4 linked regions of the Arabidopsis thaliana genome follow. The protein of the gene in region 1 interacts with the protein of each later gene in a pairwise test. Each region holds a gene or a part of one and is shown in the gene's direction. Other genes may lie near its edges. The genes, in order: AT1G74370, AT4G01410, AT3G26370 and FACE2.

What was found.
Region 2: the proteins of AT1G74370 (region 1) and AT4G01410 interact in a protein complementation assay, tested with the Arabidopsis thaliana proteins (one large-scale study listed by BioGRID).
Region 3: the proteins of AT1G74370 (region 1) and AT3G26370 interact in a protein complementation assay, tested with the Arabidopsis thaliana proteins (one large-scale study listed by BioGRID).
Region 4: the proteins of AT1G74370 (region 1) and FACE2 interact in a protein complementation assay, tested with the Arabidopsis thaliana proteins (one large-scale study listed by BioGRID).

What each region holds. Positions count from the first base shown.
Region 1 is NC_003070.9:27,956,151-27,961,179, reverse strand, and holds AT1G74370 (RING/U-box superfamily protein), read left to right. Parts: upstream 1-1,779; 5' UTR 1,780-1,993; intron 1,994-2,149; 5' UTR 2,150-2,194; coding exon 2,195-2,980; 3' UTR 2,981-3,094; downstream 3,095-5,029. Other genes in the region: AT1G74385 (uncharacterized protein), read left to right, coding at 210-455; XXT5 (xyloglucan xylosyltransferase 5), read right to left, coding at 1-1,332; AT1G74360 (Leucine-rich repeat protein kinase family protein), read right to left, coding at 3,269-5,029.
Region 2 is NC_003075.7:576,299-581,115, forward strand, and holds AT4G01410 (Late embryogenesis abundant (LEA) hydroxyproline-rich glycoprotein family), read left to right. Parts: upstream 1-1,729; 5' UTR 1,730-2,009; coding exon 2,010-2,693; 3' UTR 2,694-2,989; downstream 2,990-4,817. Other genes in the region: AT4G01400 (oligomeric golgi complex subunit-like protein), read right to left, coding at 1-945; CBL5 (calcineurin B-like protein 5), read right to left, coding at 3,740-3,776, 4,003-4,115, 4,201-4,281, 4,369-4,421, 4,550-4,658, 4,732-4,791.
Region 3 is NC_003074.8:9,654,118-9,661,001, forward strand, and holds AT3G26370 (O-fucosyltransferase family protein), read left to right. Parts: upstream 1-2,562; 5' UTR 2,563-2,768; coding exon 2,769-3,077; intron 3,078-3,252; coding exon 3,253-3,303; intron 3,304-3,395; coding exon 3,396-3,486; intron 3,487-3,656; coding exon 3,657-3,733; intron 3,734-3,857; coding exon 3,858-3,946; intron 3,947-4,039; coding exon 4,040-4,159; intron 4,160-4,334; coding exon 4,335-4,451; intron 4,452-4,547; coding exon 4,548-4,691; intron 4,692-4,779; coding exon 4,780-4,903; coding exon of another isoform or gene 4,904-4,966; exon of another isoform or gene 4,967-4,991; coding exon 4,992-5,183; intron 5,184-5,264; coding exon 5,265-5,624; 3' UTR 5,625-5,828; downstream 5,829-6,884. Other genes in the region: AT3G26350 (proline-rich receptor-like kinase), read right to left, coding at 1-613; AT3G26360 (Ribosomal protein S21 family protein), read right to left, coding at 1,846-1,855, 1,961-2,256; AT3G26380 (Melibiase family protein), read left to right, coding at 6,023-6,102, 6,198-6,351, 6,436-6,693, 6,774-6,884. UniProt on the Arabidopsis thaliana protein: Glycosyltransferase involved in the biosynthesis of pectic type-II arabinogalactans.
Region 4 is NC_003071.7:15,211,569-15,217,731, forward strand, and holds FACE2 (farnesylated protein-converting enzyme 2), read left to right. Parts: upstream 1-2,817; 5' UTR 2,818-3,038; coding exon 3,039-3,248; intron 3,249-3,556; coding exon 3,557-3,616; intron 3,617-3,701; coding exon 3,702-3,908; intron 3,909-4,081; coding exon 4,082-4,193; intron 4,194-4,295; coding exon 4,296-4,367; intron 4,368-4,442; coding exon 4,443-4,505; coding exon of another isoform or gene 4,506-4,561; exon of another isoform or gene 4,562-4,590; coding exon 4,591-4,668; intron 4,669-4,747; coding exon 4,748-4,881; 3' UTR 4,882-5,045; downstream 5,046-6,163. Other genes in the region: AT2G36295 (uncharacterized protein), read left to right, coding at 187-528; AT2G36300 (Integral membrane Yip1 family protein), read right to left, coding at 1,794-2,561. UniProt on the Arabidopsis thaliana protein: Protease involved in the processing of a variety of prenylated proteins containing the C-terminal CAAX motif, where C is a cysteine modified with an isoprenoid lipid, A is an aliphatic amino acid and X is any C-terminal amino acid.

The sequences.
Region 1 (5,029 bases):
AAACTTGTCTACAAACTCCAAAGGAGAGACTGTCTCATTTCTGATCCTCTTAATCTTGGGGCTCAACAATCCCCTATGGCTAAAACCATACAGCTTGAGCACTTGATTGTCTGCAAAATTAAAGGCCCTCTCCATACTCTTCAAGCACCTCTCGACTGCATAATCAGCATAGCTACCACACGGTTTACACCCAACGAAATGGGTCACAAATGGCCATCTCTCATCACCCAATCCCGGGTGATACTTCTCTATCATCTCCTCATACCTATCAACCAAACCTTCCCAAAACCCGTGCAAATAGTATTGATTCTCCACAAACACTTTCTCCATCCATGTATCTTTCTGAGAAAGCAGGAGATAGATCAATGCTGACTGATCATCTGCCTCAAAAGCTGGTCTACCTTTCAGATAAGCCGTCAATACCTTCCCGGCCTCATCACGAATTGGCCCTTTAGGTCCCATAGGCGCCCAAGCATCTAACAAATCCAACGACCACTGACAATTCCTCAGCAGAAAACTACCTGTGTTCAAAGCAATCCACGACTTCTGATCGAACAACAAGTCCGGATAACCATGAATCACTAGATTATGCTTCTGATACCTAGCCAAAGGGATCTGAAACAGTATATCAGTGAACAAAGCATCACTATCCATCCACCAGATCCACTCAACTTCTGGATGAGACAACATCAACCTCCTAATCATTGGTAATTTTGCCCAATAGCCAGCGAGTTCCTTATCCAAATGAGCCATGTTATACACAATCTCAATTCCATGAAGCCTACAATAATCAATCTTGTTCTTCACAGATTTCAAAAGATAATGATCACCAATGGGGTTATCACAAGGCTTAGGAGGAGATCCTGTTAAAAGCAAGATTCGAGCTTTGCCATTGACAGTACTAGGAAACTCAGGATTCTGATTCAACCATACCTTACGTTGACTATCCCAATCCGTGATCTTAGGACCTAGAACATACGTCGCATTGGGATTCATATCACCTTCCTGAGGCTCATCCAAGTCGGTTGGATCCGAATCAGATCGGATCTCAGCTAGAATCCGGTTAGTCTCCTCAATGATGTTCTGGTTAACTGCATCGGCGCTTGAGCTTCCTAGGTTACCAACACCGATAGTGCCACGTAAGACGAGAATTGTGACGAAACCACAGAGAATTGTGATCTTGATGTTGTTAAACGTCTTCTGCATCTGTCTACCTCGAGGTAACAAACCACCACGACCACCTCTTCCTCCACCGTTGGTTAACGTCGTCGTCGGAAGTCCTCCGCCGCTTCCGGATGGTCTTTTATGCGCCGGCGAACCATCTTGACCCATTTTCTTCTTCAACGTCTCTCTCTATAGATTTCACTTACAGGTTTGCGACCATCAACTTTGTTTTCCTCAGATCAGTCTGAGTATGTTTCTGTCTCTCCGTACTTACTTATTCACGGATCTGAGAAAAAGTTCAGATCTTTAGCATGATTCCGATCGGGGAAAGAGAAAGAGAAAGATTTGTCGATCTGAAGAACCCTAATTTAAAAATGGAATTAAACCCAATAATGCGGAAACATTGTCATTACTTAAAAATATATTGTCGGAGGAAAATGCTTCGTTCGATCCAGAAAGCGCACAAGGAGAAGAAGAAACGCGTACAGCTCACTCTCACCGACAACTACTATTTTACTTTAACCGATTTCGGTAATAGAAAATTACGGAACTAAACCGGTAGTTTAATTTTGGCGGTATAGTGAAACGATGCGTTTTGGTAGTTAAACCTGAAAACAGAAACGGATAAGGTGAGGAAATCGGTGGGGGCGGCGGAAACATTGAAAGGCGTTTCAGAGTCACCATGTTTTACGACGCGTGTCTCTTTTTCAGCCGGTTTTCTTCTCGCTGGTTACATCAGAGCTTCGGAGATATTATATAACTCAACGACGTAGCTGTTGCATTTTTTGTTTTTGCAATGATCTTCATCTTCATGACCGGATAAACTCTTGTAAGTGTATTTCGTTTTCTGTAATTCTGTTAATGATTTCTTGGGTTTCATCAAGTTCGTTACTTTTTGTATGTTCTCGGTCCAATCTTTGGGGGTTGGATTGTAAATCTCATATCTGATTATGTAGTGTATGTGTGTGTGATTTTCTTGTTGCAGAGAGAAAGATTCAAAGTGATTATCTTTGTGGATCCCTCCATTGCTATGTGGAATTTAGCTTCAAAATCGATCAGAGAAGGTTTTATATCGAAGGGAGAAGAAGCTGCTACAAAACCAAGAAGAGCTACTTTAGATAGATCAGGAGATGGAAGAAAGACAACAAAGGAAGAAAAATTGGAGTGTCCCATTTGCTGGGAATCATTCAACGTTGTTGAGAATGTACCTTATGTCTTATGGTGTGGTCATACAATCTGCAAGTACTGTCTCTTAGGGCTTCAACGTGCCATTGTCATCAAATCCTCTGCTTTACCATTCCAGCTTCCCTTCTTCGTTGCTTGCCCTTGGTGCAATATTCTCTCTTTAAGGCTGGTTTGCAATGGAACCATCAGATTTCCTTCCAAGAACTTTTACCTTCTGTGGATGGTAGAAAGCATGAATGGCTCCAGATCGGAGGCACCCAGCGACAACAAAAGGGTTGCTTCAGGGCAGAGAGACTTGAGAAATAGGTGTGATGGAGTGAGTAATACCGCCTTGGGTGATGAAGGGTTGCTGGACAATCGCAGCTGGTGGAATGGTGTGACCAGAGGATTCTTCAGAACTGGGAGGCTCCATGACTCGGTACGTAAGTCAATGGCTCTTGTTGCTCATTTGTTGGCTAAGTTTCCTCTGGTAGTCATATTCCTGTTGATGGCTTTATATGCAATCCCTGTGAGTGCTGCAGTTCTCGGGGTTTATTTCTTTGTTACGTTTGCTTTGGCTGTCCCGTCGTTTCTCGTCCTTTATTTTGCCTTCCCGAGCTTAAACTGGCTGATCAGAGAGATTGCAACCTGACTCATTGTACTGTTTCTTTCTTCCTGTATGTTTCCTGACTTGTAAGAAACACGAGATAGAGCCAACGTTGTTTACACTCAATATAGACAAGAAGAAGAGAAGATCTTTATTTTCAGATTGTGTCTCTGTACATTGCGAACAAAACTACCTTTCTCTATCCCTATCTGTCTGATAACAATGAGGTTCTGTGTACAAGAAGAATCAGAAACAATGAAACGAAAAATGGTGAAGAAGAAAACTCTGTTGTTCTGTATAATAAATCTGAAAGAAGAAAAGAAAGAAAGATTTTTACATTTCTATGTAACCTTGTGAAGATAAGCCATTGAAGAGCTCTGCTTTACCGGATATCTTAACCAACATAGCTAGAACTTCTTTCATGTTTGGTCTTGCCTGAGGATGATCAGCTGTACACTTCACACCAATCTTTAGTAGCTCAGTCATTTGCTCAGCTCCGTTCCCTGGTTTGGTCCCTGACAGGGTTATTGGTGAACCTTTGGCTGTCATGTTACCTGTCATTACACGTCTTGCCCATTCGACCAAACACTCTTCTCCTCCATCAACAGCTCTTCTACCCGTCGCGAGTTCCATGGTCAATACTCCGTAGCTGTAAACATCTCCTCTTGTGGTGGCTTGCCAAGTTTGTCCATACTCGGGAGCTACATACCCGATTGTGCCTGCAATCACTGTGCTCACATGGCTATCTCCTACATTTAAGAGTCTTGCTAGTCCAAAATCCGTCACTCTCGCATTCCCGTGTTTATCCAAAAGAACGTTACTGGCTTTGACGTCTCTGTGAACGATGGAAGGGTAGCATTCGTGGTGTAAAAACACTAATCCCCTTGCTACATCTGTGGCTATATCAATACGTTTCTTCCATTGAAGTTTTGTTTTGTCTGTGATGAGCTCCTCTAAGCTCCCGCCTCCCATGTATTCGTGCACCAAGATTTTCTCTGACCCATCTAGGCACCATCCATATAGCCTCACGAGGTTCGGATGTGCCCAATCTCCAAATGCGTTGGCACTTAGAACTTCCATTTCAGCTCTGAACTCTTTCTCTGCTTCTGTGCCTTCCCTCTGAAGCTTCTTGACTGCAACTTCTCTTCCATCAGGCAATACGCCTCTGTAAACAGTTCCATAGCCTCCCCTACCTACCACTCTCTCCTCAGAGAAGTTACTGGTTGCTTTCAGAATGTCAGCGTATGTGAAAGTTGATTTGTCTAAGCGAATGACCTTGATTTTTCCTGATAGCCATGGCGATGATCCACCTGAACTGGAAGTCATGTCATGTCTGGTTTTCGACCCATCTAAGAGATCGATTTCTGCTTCCCTTGAAGCCTTAACAACCATAAGTACAATACCTGATACCACTAAACATGCAATAAACGCCAATGCAAGAGCCAAGGAAATCCAAATCAAAAGAAGAGTTCTTGGCCTGTTTCCTAGGACTTGGTTGGAAATCTTCCTCGTGTTGTTCCCTGATTGGTTGAAGAAACTAGGAAACCGCAGCAGCGGATTTCCAAGAAAGGAGTCTTTGTCAAAGGTTGCTACTTGTCCTGTTGTTGGTATCGCGCCAGAAATGAAAGGGTTATATGAGATGTTGAACTTACTCAGCTCATTCAAGTCATTCAAACTCGTTGGAAAGTTTCCAGAGAAATTGTTGAAAGACAGATCAAGATTCTGCAGGCACTTCAGATTTCCGATTTCTTGAGGAATCTCGCCCGAGAAATTGTTTCGAGTAAGGTTGAGGAATGCAAGAGGCAATTGTCCTATCTCTGGAGGCAGTTTCCCCTCAAACTCATTGAAACCCAAATGTAGTGTGCTCAGCCTGTCCATCTGAGAGATGCTTGCAGGAATCTCACCTGAAAACTTATTTCCACTGAGCTGAAGATAGGCTGAAATTTTAAGCGTGCGTACCGTGGAACCAGCAGAACAGACAGGAAAGAGACCGTACCCTTTGAGAACATGGTCCCATAGGCTTCTGCAACTCTTTTTGGTTAGAATTGCGTATACAAAGTTGAACGGAGGGAACTCCGCTGGAATCCATCTCTT
Region 2 (4,817 bases), on another chromosome or scaffold:
CCTAGCATCCATCGCACGATCTTCTCTACAAAACCCGAGAATCATCGTGTTGTAATGAACAAGATCAGGATTACAACCTTTTAACTTCATCCTACATAGAAGCTTATAAGCCTCTCTAAGCTGTGTCTTCCTACACAAACTGTTCAACAATGTCGTGTAACTTAACCTATCAGGCACGAATCCTTTATTCAACATATCATCAAGTAATTCCATAGCACCATTCACTTGACCTTTCCTACAAAACCCTTGTATCAGAATCTTATAAGAATCCACATCAGGGACAACATCTCTCTCAAGCATTTTACCAAACAGTTGGTATGCAATACTCAAATCATCATTCAAACAAAAAGCTTGCATCAATAAATTGTAACTTCTCGTGTTAGGCATTACTCCATGAAGCCGTGAACTCTTGAAAAGCTCAAAAGCTTTCTGGAGATAACCTCTATGGCTTACGAGAACATCTAGAATCCGATTCAGATGTTTTGGCTGCGGCGTGAAATTGAACTCCAGCATTTTGTAAAACGTACTTAAGACTTTCTCCGGTAACTTTGCTTCTGCGTAGACTTTGATCAGATAAGTGAAAATTTCTCCGGTTAATGGATAACCACTTGATCTGTGTTTGGCGAGAACGTCGTCGATAAGATTGAAATATCTACCACGGCCGAGTTTGAGAATGAGGATTAGATGAGAAGATCGAGAATGGCGGAAATTGGGCTGTTGAGAAGCATAATCGAAAATCTCCTTGGCGAGGAGAGGATCCGATTGCGAAGCTATGAGCTTTTGAACCCGAGTCGGAGACCCGATTGGGGATTTAGGGTTCGAGACAATCGGTTTTCGAGCTTCATGTTCAGATGAAGAATAGAACAGAAAACGCGAGGATGTCGATAACGGAGAAGTTAAGTGGCGAAAAACGGCGGCGAAGTCGTAGATCGGCCGGCGAATCATTTGTCGGAGTTTTTTTTTAATAAATCGGCCGTTGGAAGTGAGACTTGTATCAGTCAGCAAATTATCAAATATCTCTCTGTACACAATAGTTTTAGTGTAGGCCCAATTTTATAATGGGCTTATAATTGAGGCCCAGGTAGCATCCACAGCATTGTCGGTGACTACAGTGTCGGTGGTGCGGTATCTCAGTTAGTGTGATTAAATAACAGATTCTTCTTAAATGTGATTATTATTTATTTTGGAAGCTTACTAATAATATATGGAATTTGGTCAGAAGTATTGTTGGAGATGTGGACATAAAAGACTTGTACTTTTATTTTCTAAACATTAGAACAAATATGACACATGTGGTATCTAATTAATTTATTATTAATTGCTTTATACAGTTGATAAAGAATTGTGAAATATGATAATTTAATTTTCTTTCTACATAACCGTATTCTGGCATGCAAACAGATATTAGGTTATTGCTAACTTTGACAGGCCGTAACCTGATAAATTTCATTCTAATTTTTTTAAAAATTAACACGGCCAAAAAGTGATAGTTATCACGTTGCACGAAACCATAGTTGTCACCAAATAAGTCAATCATTGACAACAAAGTATTTGATTATGTATAGCCATATGTATACACGTTACATTGGATTTTTCATTTTTAAAAAATTCATCACTCATCAGATCCGTCACGTGAACGGTTGCACCGAGATTTGGAGTCTTTCGAAAGTACTTCTCTATCTTATATTATTACATTAAGTATTATAACAAAATAAAATCACAATGTAAAAACAGTAGTAATTTACGGCTACTTTATAAAAAGATTAGCTTTAACACATAATTACAACTACAAGCTTTCTAAGTTAATAAACAATTAATAAAACTGTACTCTAGAAGACTGTTTACTCTTATTAACTAGAAAAGAGACAAAACCTTGCATCTACTTATCTTCTTTCTTCTCCTCCTCCTTCTTTAGAGTCTTCACTCTTCACCGAACCCTCTGATTCTCGTATAGACACACACATACCTATACATACACACTTTAACACTTATATCTGTAGAGTATAGCCATGGGAGAAGGAGAAGCAAAAGCAGAGCACGCAGCCAAAGCAGATCACAAGAACGCTCCCTCCGCTTCTTCAACGCCAGAATCTTACTCTAAAGAAGGCGGAGGAGGCGGTGGAGATGCTCGCCGCGCAATCTGCGGCGCGATCTTCACCATCCTTGTCATACTAGGTATCATAGCCTTAATCCTTTGGCTCGTCTACCGTCCACATAAACCACGTCTCACCGTCGTCGGAGCCGCCATCTACGACCTGAATTTCACAGCGCCGCCGTTAATCTCAACCTCCGTTCAGTTCAGCGTTTTAGCAAGAAACCCTAACCGGAGAGTCTCCATTCACTACGACAAGCTCTCTATGTACGTAACGTACAAAGATCAGATCATAACACCGCCGCTTCCACTACCACCGCTTCGTTTAGGACATAAATCTACGGTTGTGATAGCTCCGGTGATGGGAGGCAACGGTATACCAGTCTCGCCGGAAGTAGCTAATGGTTTAAAAAATGATGAAGCTTACGGCGTCGTTTTGATGAGAGTGGTGATTTTTGGGAGGCTACGTTGGAAAGCTGGTGCGATTAAGACTGGACGGTATGGATTTTACGCCAGATGTGATGTGTGGTTGAGATTTAATCCATCTTCTAACGGACAAGTTCCTCTTCTCGCTCCTTCAACTTGTAAAGTTGATGTCTAGTCTTAATTTTACTTCGTTATGTTTTCTTTTTTAATCTTTGTGTTTTAGAATTGTAATCTTTTTTTTTTGTGGTCATGTTAGTGATGAGTTTCGTCGAGTCTAGTGTTAAAATAAATTAAAAGGCATAAGCCAAAAATTATAAGTACAAGTATATTACTAATTTTATATTTTACTTGTGATAATTATTTTGTTTCTCTGTTGTTGGACCTGTGGATGTTAATTAATGACATTTGACAATACAAATGTGTTGTCGCTAATAGCGTATCTTGGCATATGGTGAGTTCATCGACACAACAGCTCAGAGTGTTTGATCAGACATATGGCATCTTCAGGCAAATCTCATTTTGGTTTTATCATATATATATTTTTCCCCCATTATTACGGAACTATTTCCTCACGATTATAATTAAATACTTAGAATATTACTATGCTTTTCTGTTTTCCGATTCAATGATATTGTTTTTTTGTAAATCTGAATCGGACGTTAGGAGTCTTCTGAATATAAGTTACATTTTTTGAATGAAGCATCCGTTTAAAACGAGTGACTAAAATGATCGTGACTCCACAAGTCATCGCGTCAAATGTAAAATTTTCATGTGAAACAGTGAAAGCGTCAAATCTAAATAATATTGTGGATGATTGTTGTGAATTTGATTAGTTGACCTGATTCAAAAATTTGATTGGTATATCATGTCAATTTTTTCTCTTTGGTTTTGGCAACTTATATCATGTCCAATTTCTTTTTGTGTTACCATTTTTCTCGAATTTTCACACGTTTGTTCTTTTTCTTTTTCCTCTTTTCCTTTTCCAAAACCCCATTTTGTCTTCACGAACCGATCTTTGCTTTTAAGTTTTCATATCACAGCTTTAGCTTTGTGGTTAAAAACAATTACTTTCTATCCTCGTTAAATATTAAAGATTTCTTTCGATAGTTAATATGTTTATATAATAATTAACCTTCTATATTTCTTATAACAAATTACCTATGTGATTTTCGGATAAAAATATTTTTAAACAAAAACCTCTAGCAAACACCTCATCTGATTTTACCGGAGAAAGGTTGGGAAAATCCTCGGAATGTCCCTGTACAATAAAAGTTAATTTTAGAATAATTATCTCGATTTATAAAACAAGAAAAATAAAATAAAAGAAGATAATAGTAATATATGCATAAACACACATATATAAAAGCTGTTTTTGAAAGATGTATATATATTACTTTTTTTGTAAAACGAAAGATGTATCTAAAACATGCAATTTATCAGCGAATATTAAGAAAATGGTTAGGAAAAACAAACAAACGAATTACTTCAAGAAAGGGATAGTCATGTTCTTTAGTGTCAAAGGATAGGTGGCAACAAAATTCTCCCATTCTTCCAAATCTATTATCCCATCTTTTTTCCAATCGGCCTCTTCAAATGTCTTTGCCAAATATAAGTAAACAAAAATAGTAAGTAAAATCACTATAATGTTAAATCAAGCTCATAAACTTAAGCGTTATACACACCTTAGACACGATAGAATCAATGATACTCTCGGATAGCATAAGTTCTGATTCCTCTAGAACGTCTATTATCATCTCTTTCACCTATAGATTTCTCCAAGTCGAGGAAAACCGTCAAATATAATTAATCATGACTTTTTCTTTTTTTTGAGACAAAGTTTACATACGTACCTCCTCCGGTTCAATGAATCCAGTCTCACGAGTATCGTATAATCTAAATGCAACTGTTTAATTTTAAACAAGTGATCAGATGTATTTGTGGTTATAGTTAATAACATTGATCTCTAGCTATATAGAAAATAATAATAACATGGAATAAATGAATAAACACATTAGAAGTGATGAAGCATACATATGGCCTTATCTCTTGGTGATGAGTTTGGGTGAAAAATGTTGAGTGTGTGTACAAACTCTCCAAAATCTATAGCCCCATCGTTTCTCATATCGAATAATCCAAAAATCTGCATATTTCAGAGAAACAACATCAATCGAAGTTTATTTATTTATTTCGCTTAATATAACAAATTCAATTACCCGTTCTGCAGAAAGACTGCGCTTTTTGGTATTCTTGATCAAGATAAATTGAAATTTTTCCTGGAAAAGCCAACCAAATTTGACAT
Region 3 (6,884 bases), on another chromosome or scaffold:
AGCGAGGACGGTAGACGAGGTAAACGATTAGGATGATAAGACCGCCGAGAATAAGAATGACCCAGAATATTGCACAGCAAAATGCAGCTGACCATGTCATTGCGTTTGTCTCTCTTGAGGGTGGTGGTAACCGTGGGCCACGGCGGTGATGCGGGGATGGTGTTGGAGCGGTTCTCCATGGACTTGGTTTGGGTATTGGAGGTAATGTTGATCCATAACCCCCTCCGTTGCGTTGTGGTGCTTGTGGTGGTGGAGGTCGTTGTTGTTGATTATCTTCAGGGCTTAATAGCAATGGTCTTTTCGATGAGTTTTGAGTTTTTCGTGGTGGAAGTCTCTCCTCTGGGCTTAATGGTACAGGTATTACAGAATGTTTCGGTTCTTGGATTGGATTTTCACGGTGGCGACCACGAGTCTTGATTAGGATTCCTGGTGGAGCTACTGGGTGAGGTTGCGTGGTTTTGTGGTGCGATTTTTTTGGGTGCGGAATGGGCGGGATGTGTGGTTGGTTCGAAGATGTTTGTGAGGTAGAAGCACCACCGCTTTTGAGATGTGGATTCTGCGATGGAATTCGCGCAAAATGAGGGTTAGTTTCATGGTGATGATGATGAGACATTTAGATGAAGAAGCTAAAAAGCATCAAAGGAAACTAAGTTAAGTAAGACTTGAGATGAAAGAATGAGAACAGAGAGATTTTGAACTGTTTTAAGTTTCTAAATGAGATAGAGAGAGGGAGAGAATAACTTGGTGACAAGTTCAAGTAAGGATTCTTTGTTGTAGAAAACAAAATAAAGAAGGAAAGTGATAGCACGAAGCAAGTAATCTTTGTTGTAGATTCCTTGCACTAAAATTAAAATCAGTTTCTAATCTCATGAAAAAGTATAAAAACATTCTCTGTATCTTTTTCTCATTCAAAAGTTTTTTTAAGAAAATTGTAATTACTCGGTCCAATTTATCTAAAACCCAAATAAAAAGATCTCGATTTTAGGAGAGACAGGGTTAAGGACTTACAGTAACAGTCATGAATATGTCAATCTTTCTACTTCAGCTCACTCCAGGGGAAAGATGTTGATTCTCAGAGCAACTTACGAAAACTTGTCGAATATGTCAGTAAACTATGAACATGTTAAGATATGTCTCCCATAGATCAAGAAGGCCGCAGATTAGTTAGCGCAAATCTGATGCGAAACACGTTGCTTCTGCAGGTAGATACTCTGTTCTCTGCTCAATTTCTGCAGCATCAAACATGAAACCAACTCTGCAATGCCGGTTACTGCAAACGTTGACAAAGACAACTACCAATCGAGCCTGACCAAACAGATACTAGTAAAAAAGCTGGAAGCAAACTGAAAACTAAACCCATACAAAAGGTATTTTCCACGATCTTCGGTGCAATTGTTCTTCCTATATCTCTTATCCCCATTCTTTGGCATGGCATGGTATATAGTAACATGAATATACATAAAATGAAAGTGTAAACGCCTGGAAAGAGCTAACCTACGCTTTACACGCGAAGAAAGCAGAACAATCTCAGAGTAATCATGGCCGGAACAAGAAACACAATTCAAGCACAGAGACCCACAGAACACAGTCATACAGAGTGCAGGAGAAGCAACGCACTTGCCCTGAAACAACTTTCAATACATGTACTCCTAAGATCTGATGTTCTTTCTCAAGATCATTGAAAACTTACGAAAGAGAAGCCATAGAGTAAACAACTAATCAAATCCAAAATTCCAATTCCACATTGATTCAACTCATCAAAAGTTCAAAATGTAAAACTGTGTTATATCACACACAGATACTAGTACTGATCAACATAGCAGCACTCTTGCTTCACCTCAGCTCTCATAAACCTCTGCAAAGAATAACAATAAGAAATACGCAAGATCTTACTAAACTAAACAACACCATTAAAACCCTAAAAAATGTGAAGCTTTTGAGAAAAATCAGAAAACATTACCTGACTTTCTTGATGAGGATTGATTGGAGTTTTCGAGCAAAGTCAATGGATTTGATTCTGCGTTCAAGATTCTTCCTAGCGAGAACCTTCTTCTCCGAATTCTTAATGTGATGAGTCTGAGTCCCTTTGATCAGCCTCTCCATTCCACTCGATTGCATCTTCTTCTGCAAAATCGTCAGTGCCTTGTCTAAATCATTGGAGAACACCTTCACTCTTATCCCTCGCTCTTGCTGCAACTGCTGGTTTAGACTCGGACGAGTCACCAACCCCGTAACTCGCTTCGCTATCGTGTTCATCTCTTTTACTTGTTTTCTGAAAAAGTATGTTTCTGAAAACGTAAATGAGATTGACGAGAGACAGTGATAGGATCTGAATTCGACTTACCGGTCGGAATCTCGCCGGAGAGAATCAAAGAGCCAATTTGAGTGATGATGGAGAATGTCTAGGTTAAAAAAGAGGCGATGGAGGAAATGAGATAAAAACCAGAGAATTTACTAATATAGGGGTGGTTATGTAAGTTTTATGAGATATAGGGATGTTTTTGTAAATATCCTTAAATCTAATCTTCTGTTTGATTCAGAGAGTATTGACTTTAAAGAAGAACATTCAAGCCTTTCAAAAAAAAAAAGCTTCTTTAATTTCTCTCTCTCTCTGTGGAGTGTTCGAATCTCCAAGCTCTCTCTCAAATGGCAGCGTCCACATAGTAGAGCTGAAGAAGCACTGTATCTATCTACAGAGAAAGTGAAGAGGAAGAAAAGGAAGAGAGGATATAGAAATTAAGCTGGCGACTTTTAGTCCGAGGCGAGCAATGGCAGAGTTACGGCACTCGAGCTCTCTCGGTAGCCGATCTTCTTCTTCTCCGTTACGTGCCGCCGGAGATGAGGATTCTTCATCGCCTCATGTACACGATCACTCTCCTAACGGCGGAGACGACGAAGATGGTCGCCCACGTCATCCTTCTAGAGATCGAGACCGTCCGATCTGGTTTCACTCTTTGTTTCCTTTCTTCGGTGATGATCCTAGGGTTTCTCCTCAGAAGAATAAAATCTCGCTTCTATTGATTTTGATTCTCGCTATTGCTAGCTTGATCTCAGTTTATGGGATTATTAATCACTTGGTAAGTCTCTTCCTTCGATCTAGGAATTGAGATCTTCAAGGCTCTATGTTCTAACTGTGGAATCGATTTGGAAAAGTATTTAGCTTTGTTTTGAGTAAAGGGGTTTGTTTATTTAGGTGGATTTGGATTGACATTGTTCTCAGACTAAGATTGCTTCTATGTCTATCTTCTGCAGAATGCTCCTTATTTATGTAAAAAAGATGGGATTGTGCTAAACTGTCCTCATGTAAGTGTTTGAAAACTTTGGTTATGTGTTTTGTTGAATGCATAAGCTTTGAATCCTGTAAATTTAATTGTGTGTTGGTTTGCATTTGTAAGGTAAAAGAGTCACCTTCTCCTTGGGAGAATCCTTTATCTGCAACAACTTCTTGGAAGCCTTGTGCTGAGCGGCGGATTGGTGGAATCTCAGGTATTGAAGGGCTAGAGCATTGTCATTTTCATTGTCATGTGTTATTTTTTTTTTTTATTTTTTTTTTTTCGTCGAAACACATTGTCATGTGTTATTGATCTGTCTTTTCGTGAAAGTTCAAGTCTTTTTCCTTGGTTAGCTTATTAGATTGTGTCAACTGTTTTTTTCAGATCTTCCTCCTGAGAATGAAACAAATGGCTATGTATTCATTCATGCTGAAGGTGGTTTGAATCAGCAGCGAATTGCTGTATGTATCTTCCAACTTTTATCTCTTTTTCTTCTCGCCATTATCCAATCATGGATCAATGTCTAAATGGCTGTTGTTCTTCTTGCCATCGTCCAATCTTGAATTCATGCCCTTTTGTTTCCAGATCTGCAACGCAGTAGCTGTTGCCAAGATTATGAATGCAACACTGATTCTACCAGTACTGAAGCAGGACCAAATATGGAAAGACACAACGTAAAATCATATTCAGATATTGATTTCATTTCATCTTGAATTACTTCTCTATTTTCTTTTTGGTTTACTGAGCTTGTTAACTTTCTTTTGCAGAAAATTTGAAGACATTTTTGATGTAGATCATTTCATTGATTACTTGAAGGATGATGTCCGAATTGTTCGAGACATACCTGACTGGTTCACTGACAAAGCAGAGCTATTCTCTAGTATAAGGTTTGCTTGTCAACTCATTATTTGTTGATGATGTACTTGTTGGACGATTTCAAAAGTTAGCTTGTGGAATTATGGCGTCACTGGGTGCTCCTTGTGTATATCTCTGATTTAAAAATCGATCTGTATTTTTTAATCAGATATGATGTTGACCAAGTTATTTATTTATCTTCTGCAGAAGAACAGTCAAAAACATTCCCAAATATGCAGCAGCCCAATTTTATATTGACAATGTTTTACCTCGGATAAAGGAGAAGAAGATAATGGCCTTGAAGCCTTTTGTCGATCGACTTGGGTATAACCAATATTCCTATAGTTTAGTGCTCAGATTTTGGAAATCGTCTTATAAACAATGAATGATTTATTCTTGTGATGCTGGAAATTTTTTCAGGTATGACAATGTACCTCAAGAAATCAACAGATTACGATGCCGTGTAAATTATCATGCTCTCAAATTTCTTCCAGAGATAGAGCAGATGGCTGATTCACTTGTTTCTAGAATGAGAAATCGCACTGGAAATCCAAATCCATATATGTATGCCATATCAGAGATTCGACTTTGTTATAACTTAGGACCATATGCATTATATCAACTTAAAACTATACCCATGTCTCTTGTATAGGGCTCTTCATCTTAGATTCGAGAAAGGAATGGTTGGTCTATCGTTCTGTGATTTTGTGGGGACAAGGGAAGAGAAAGTTAAAATGGCAGAATACAGACAAAAGGAATGGCCTCGGCGTTTCAAGGTGACATTTATAAGCAGTTGTCAACTTCTTTTGGTGGCTAAACAACCTCAACCGCTACCTTAATGAAATTTCTTGACATATATTGCAGAATGGTTCCCATCTCTGGCAGCTCGCCTTGCAGAAGCGCAAAGAAGGTCGATGCCCTCTTGAGCCAGGAGAAGTTGCTGTGATCCTACGTGCAATGGGCTATCCAAAAGAAACACAAATCTATGTTGCATCTGGTCAAGTCTATGGCGGTCAAAACCGTATGGCTCCACTAAGAAACATGTTCCCAAATTTGGTAAGCACAACACCGGACTCTTATAATTCTTTGATGAATCAGCACAAACTTGTCTCTCACATTAACTGTCCTTTGAATCAGGTAACAAAGGAGGATTTAGCAGGCAAAGAGGAACTAACAACGTTTAGAAAACACGTTACAAGTCTTGCGGCTCTAGATTTCTTGGTGTGCTTGAAATCAGATGTATTTGTGATGACACACGGTGGAAACTTTGCAAAACTGATCATCGGAGCGCGTAGATATATGGGGCATCGCCAGAAATCAATCAAACCGGATAAAGGGTTGATGTCGAAATCATTTGGGGATCCTTACATGGGATGGGCAACTTTTGTGGAAGATGTAGTTGTAACCCATCAAACACGAACCGGTTTACCTGAAGAAACTTTCCCTAACTATGATCTTTGGGAAAATCCTCTCACTCCATGCATGTGTAAAGCTTGATGATGATGCTTTTGTTTGGTCTTGGATTTTGTCTGATGAGGAGCAACAAACTATAGAGATTCGTAGTTTTCTTCTTCTTCTTCTTCTTTTTTGACCTTTCAAATCTTTGAAGTCTTCATTTACCATCTTTGTAATCATTTTGATATTATGTAAAGTTCCTAGTGATGAAAAAAAAGTTTCTTTTTTATATTAAATTTGATCAAATTGATGCACTAAACTTTAATTAAAAGAAAATTAGCTCAACGGTTACTAATCCAATTCTTAATTTTTTGTCACGCTCTCTAATAGTACCCGCCATTAACACAACCATTGCGTGTTGTCTTCTCTCTTACTCTCAGGTTCTCAACAACAAAAGAGGAAAACAAAATCAGAAGCTATCGTAATCAGTTCTCATCTCTATGACCGGACTATCCGTAGAGAAAACCGGGTCGACCCGGTCCACTGTCTTCTTCATCATCTTTAATCTATCCATTTTTAGGTACTCCGCTTCACTGGGTTTTTGAATTTGATTTTGGTTTTTGAGTGGGTGGTGTTTGAGTGATCGATCAATCACAAAAGTTTCGTCTTTTTCAGTTTATCGATTGAAGCAAGGTCGAGGCAACAACATGCTAGCTTTCCTCCAAGAGGATGGAATTCGTACGATTCCTTTTGTTGGACTATCTCTGAAGCTGAGTTCTTGCAGAGTGCTGAAATTGTTTCTAAGCGTCTTCTTCCTCATGGTTATCAGGTAATTGTGAGTTTCTTTATCCTTTAGAATGTAAAAGTTTAGGTTTTTAATTGCTTGTGTTTGTGTGTGTTGATTTGGATACAGTATGTTGTGGTGGATTACCTTTGGTATAGAAAGAAAGTTGAAGGAGCTTATGTGGATTCTCTTGGGTTTGATGTGATTGATGAATGGGGAAGATTGCATCCTGATCCAGGTAGATGGCCATCTTCTAGAGGCGGTAAAGGTTTCACTGAAGTTGCTGAGAAAGTTCATAGAATGGGTTTGAAGTTTGGGATTCATGTTATGGGAGGAATCAGCACACAAGCTTATAACGCAAATAGTCTCGTTATGGATAGTGTTAAGGTATTGAGTTGATTGATTCTTTCTGAGTTTATGAAGTTTGTTTGGAAGTTATCAACAAGTGAATCTTTTAATGGTTGAAGGGAGGTGCTTATGAAGAATCAGGTAGACAGTGGCGAGCGAAAGATATTGGGATCAAGGAGAGGGCTTGTGTTTGGATGTCGCATGGGTTCATGAGTGTGAATACCAAGTTA
Region 4 (6,163 bases), on another chromosome or scaffold:
CTTCTTTGTATAAAAAAAATCTTTTGGAAGACCCAAAAATTCCCAACAAAGATAGTTGTATATTCGTTGAGGACCGTTCTACTAACCCACCTTCTACTTTAATCACCTTTATATATACGTATTAACCACATAATCAAGTTTAAAACCACAAGGACTCTTAAACCGGAAATTATTTCAAAATCAACAATGACACGTTGTGTTGGTTTGGTTAACCGTGGAACAGAAGAAGAGGAGAAACAAGAAGCAAACGAACCTGAACACGATGGCGAGGGAAGTAGTGAAGAAGACGGCGAAGATGATCTGTTCGAGATAAACCTGGAGGCCGTCAGTGATACGGCCACATCTCCACCGTATGATTGCCAGAGATTACCGGCGAGAACAGGTAGCGTTTTACTGGCCAACTGTCTATTACCAGCTGCCGAAATCTCTAATGCCGTACCGGCAACATCAAGAGGTTGGAGTGATTTGGTTTGGTCTAGAGGGGTTCTCTATGTTGATAATCAAAGAATTGAGAGTAAGAATACTTAATCAGATGTATATCTTACAATTTTACCTTGAAACACAAATACGTATCTTATAGACACTTGAGAGATAATCTTGTCAATATATGCAAGTGTTACGAGTGTTTAATCAGATGGTTTATCACTATCTGGATATCATGGAAGAACTAGGTGAGTATGAGTATATATGGTTTCCTTTGACAAGATCCTGGTAAGGGAGAGACCAAGCCGCCTAAAAGTTTGGTTTCAATTGAGTCCAAGGATCGAAATTGTAGGGTATGTCTTAAGTACATCCACCAGATATATCAGAAATTTTACATCTTTACATTGTATGTTTAAAACAATTGCCTACTCCCCTTTGAGTCAATTTGGATTCTAAAGAAAAGGTGGAACACAAAAATGGTTCCCTCGGAACGAGTGTTGCAACACGAAAATATAGAGATCATTTCTAACACCAGTTCTACTGAATGTTTTAGGAGAAGGTAAAGCTGACAAATACTATGCTCACTCAATTGGACATAGCTGATTCTTCTCGACACATTAAAACAAATTCCATCTAAGAGAGTATGAATTGCGGATAAATCTCTCTCTAATTTCCGTGACACAGCAAATACTATCAGGAAAAGTAAGTGCAGTTCTGGGATTGACAGTAGAAGACGAACCTGAAGCCAAGATCCCATGTCCCTACTTATCTATGCCACCTAATCAGGGAACATACCAACACCGAGCAAACCACTAAATACTAATCACTCTTTCATTAGACTATGCCTAAGTTTCCAACAGCTCTAAAACCAACTCAAAATTCTACTCTACCTACATGGAGCCATACTTTAAGCAAATCTAATGCCAATCATTCCTAAAACTTGGGACCTTTAAGTATAATCCAAGCAAGAAGTCAGCACATCTTCATAGCCTCACACCGGGAAAGTAAATAGCAAAATAAACATGAAATAGGAAGCATATAAACCTCTTCTGCATTAGTACAGAAGCATATCATCCGCAACATCAATTCCAATACTCTCACAAATCTAATGTCCAGGAACAAACTATGTCAAAAGACATATCGACCAAATTGTATAAATAATTCTTAAGTAAGAACCTTAAAGATCAAGTGACAGATACAAACATTGAATCAAATTTCTTAAACACCTTTCTAAATTTATCCAAAAAAGCCTTTACACACCGTGCTATTCCCACCCAATTCAACCTCACATCAAAGAACTTATATTGCAGCCTTTTTTTGCTACTTGCTAACACAGCATCGGAAGTGATTCACGATCTATCAATATGGAATCAAAATATAACAAGAAGAGAGAAGAGAGTATAGATCAAGAAACAAGCGTACGCGATCAAGCCACGGTGCTCTTCTCCACCATCAGCAAGAGATACCACCAATGTAGAGCAGGCTCTAGTGGACCACAACACAAACAAAGCCGCAAGCACAAACCGAACCGGCCCTGCTCCCTGGGGAACGAACAATGACACCGCCGATAAAACCACCACCGGAAGCAAACAGTATCCGACCAAGCTCGTACACGTATGGAGATTAAGGTTCCCATTTCTACCAGCAAGCATGTTAAAGACGACGTATAGAAAGATAGAGGAGACGACGATCCATCCAAGTATGACACCGAACTGGATCTTACCAGCTAACAACTGAAATAAGCAAAGCGCAAGGTACAGAAAGATCGGACCAGATAGATCTGAATCTTTGTGAACAGCTTGGTTAATCCGAAAAGGATTGAGAATCGATCTAGTCTTCTTCCAGATTTGATCTGGATGGATACCGAGCTCGTCGAGTAATGGCTCCTCATCTTCAAACGAAGCTGAACCTCCACCAAAAGAAGAAGAGGAAGCGATTGTCCCGCCGAATGGTCCGGCAGGTGTAGCGGAAGACGCGGCTGCGGATCCAATGTCGAATGACATGAAAGGGATTGCGGAAGAAGAGGGACGCGGCGGTTGAAACGGTGTCGCTGGGAATCTTCGTTGCTGGACATTAGCACCGCCTGAAGATCCACCGGAGGGGAAAACTACAGGTGGAACTGCGAAATCCTTCGTCATCTTCTTTCCGAAATTGAGATCTCACCAAATCAGCAAAGAGATTCGAAATTAGGGTTTCAAGTTTGGATCAATGAGATGAATTTTTTAACCCAATTCACACGTTCGTGACGTTTCAGAGAAAATTCCTTTCTTTTTTTTGTTCTCTTCTTCTTCTTGACAGTGAAGAGACAACTTTAGAAGAAGGCATCTGAGGGTAGTTTCGTCATTCCGTCTAGTTAATGACGAAATATAACCAATAGGCTTCTTCGAAACTGGCATGGTGACGTATATCTTCTGATGATATTACCGTTATACCCTCTTTTATAAACGAAATTGGCCCAATGGGTCTGTTCGGCCCAGTAGTCATCCGTTTTAGTCTATAACGTGGCACGATGTAATTGGTTAAAGATTAGAAGACCGCCGGACTAAGATTTAACCAGCGGTGACTTCGACACTTATTAGCCGGTATATTTCTTCGCCGGAGCTTCCTCAACGATTATGGCCACCGATGGCGAGAGTATCTCGATGTCGTTGGCGGTGGCTACCTGCGTCGCGATGGCACTATTCTACGTTTTGATCCTTTACGTTCCCACCGTGATACTCCGTCTCCCGTCGGCTTCTTCTTACACCGAATTCATGATTCGGCGATTCATCTGCGCGGCCATTTGTACTGTAGCATCTCTCGTCTTCACAGCTTTTATACTTCCGGTAAGCTTCTTTGAGTACCGCCATTTCTCGATTTGAAGTTCATTCTCCGTTGATCTGTAACCAAATTAGGTCCAAATCTAGATGCATTTGGTGTTTTGATGAAAGTTAAACTAAAAGTAAAGAAATTTGATGTATTTGTAACTTTGTTGAGAGTTGAATTAGCTTTTACTAGTTGTTGTAGGTTCACACAATTTGTCTCTAAGAATGTAACACTCAAATATTGGTGACTATGTTGTGTTTGGTACAATTCAACGCTAGTTACAGGAATCTCTGAAACTTGTCTTCCTTTTTTGCTTGAGTAATGTTAGATAAAAAGCTGGGAGGCCTCTTATATACTTGGAGTTTATGGCATAAGGAAAGATCATCTGGTAAGTTCTTTGTCTCAATTTGTTTACTCGTAGCTTATTGTACACTATTCATATTAAAATGGTTATGTTTTGTGATATGGAACAGTGGCAAGGAGTGGTGTATCCTCTTCTATTGACCTCGCTCGTTTATGCTGGGTCTTTGGTGTTGAAGTTGTTTACTCTCCTGGAATCATGGAAGGAAAATGGCGGAGGATGTAGTTCCTTTAATTACATCAGAAGCTTTTTCCAAACAATCCCTGCTTCGGTATTGACAAGTGCTTCTAATGTTTCCGTTTGGCGCAATTTTATCGTGGTAATCATATGTTTGCCATCTCTGTGTGCTTATCTTGTCAATTCTTTATTGAAATTGCATAAGGCATTGCTTGCTAATTGTCTGAGGACTATATGCATCAGTTTGGTGTATAAGTAAGTTCTAAATCGAACAAGTTATAATCTGTTAGAGCTGGCGTTTCTTATGATTTGCAGGCACCAGTAACTGAGGAGCTGGTTTTCCGATCATGTATGATACCTTTGCTTCTGTGTGCTGGGTTTAGGATTAACACTGCCATCTTTCTGTGCCCAGTTCTCTTTAGCTTGGGTTTGTTTCTTTCTCTCTCTCTCTCTCTCTGTGAATAACAGTTTACAACTCGAGTGAAAAGAAAATTACTGGATTTGTCTGACTTTTATATGTTTTGTGTAGCTCACTTAAACCATTTTAGAGAGATGTACATCAGGCATAACCGCAGCTATCTCCGGGCTTCACTTATTGTTGGTATGTCTTTGCCATCCATAATCATAATAATATTGTTTGTTGATCAGTCCTGAGCTTCACTTGTCCGTTGATCAGGTCTTCAGCTTGGCTACACAGTCATTTTTGGTGCATATGCATCGTTTCTCTTCATCAGAACCGGTAACATTCCAGGCATTTATATATCTTATACATGTAAAAGCCTTTCTAATGGATGATTGTCTCCTGCATTGTGTAAATTTTACAGGACATCTTGCTGCTCCTTTGTTTGCTCATATATTTTGCAACTACATGGGATTGCCTGTGCTATACGCAAATGGAAAAGGTAAGACATAAAGTTCAAGGTTGTTAACAAATGCAAATGCAAAAGAATAAGCTAAACATGGTTATGGTTCTTCTCTCAGGTTTGGTGAGTGCAGCGTTCTTAGGCGGTGTGGTTGGGTTCGTCTTACTTCTCTTTCCTTTAACAAAGCCTCTCATGTACAACGATAGTACCAACGATTGTCCGTGTTGGCTTGGCTATTGTTTGTGGAATTGACACTTCTCCAAGTTTTTTTTTATATATCATCATGTCTTAGAATCTATTTTTTGACACAATATTGGAATTATGGTCTTTTACTGCAAGCTAATGTTTCTTGATAGTTTATGTAGTTTTTTCCTTGTAAATATATAATAATAATAATAATTGGTTCAAGTCTCCAAAATTAGTGTTGGCTAATTGTCCATTTTTTTCCGGTATTATCCCTAATGATTCTCTTGCTATCCTAGGAGGGACAGGAAGAAGGATGATCTACATCCCCAAGTCTAACCTAAACTATATTGTCCAATGTCAACACGCCAAAATTCATTTGATTTATATATAAAAATAGAGAAACAATGATTAGAAATTGAACATAGGTCCATAATCTTACATCAGAGATTCAGAAGATGATGTCTTGCTTGATGATCATCCAAAGAGATTTTGGGGGTAATCATCAAACGGATATAATTTTCTGAAAATTATATTTCAAAGTTGACTTTCAAAGTCTGAGTTTATGATGATGATTTTCACTTAGGAGTTACGAAAATTATGTTTCTAGGATTCGTAGGTCTCTCAGTAATTTTCTCACCACCACTTGATTACTATGTCATATTCCTACGAAATTTGAAGCTTGGATAGTTGAATTTATGGTCAATAAATTATCTGTACACTACACATATATTGTGTTTGTGTGAAGTAAACGGTGATTTAACGGGAGAGGATCTCTTCATAAAGAAGATGTGGTTGATTATGCTTGCATATAACAGAATTTGTTGAACCGGAAAATCATCCTCGACAAAACCAATATGCAGTAATCTACTCTAAAATGTATTTTACCCAAACTATACACTACTACTATCTAGTGAGATTCATTACTATTGTTTATGTGGATAGTTTTAAAAAGATGAAGACCAATACTATTATGATCTATTCATAAATCCTATTCTTATTTTATAGTTGTAAGTTGAGCTTTTATAATAGAGAGCATAAATATTGCTGGTATTTGAACTAATACAAACCGTTAAAAAAAGGGAACTAATACAAAAAGAAAAATCAACTAAATTTTCACTAATACTAAAAATTTGCAAAATTATGTTAATTTACGTTTATTTATTTATATTATAAATAAGTGAGTAAAATTCAAAATATTTATTTACCTTACATTTTAAATTTATCATCGCAAAATACACCACAAAATTTCATTAAGAAATATTTGTTTTTTTGTAAAGGAGGTAATAAATGACGTTTTAATATGATACAGTCAATAGGATACAACTTTGATCACGTGATTTAAAATTGG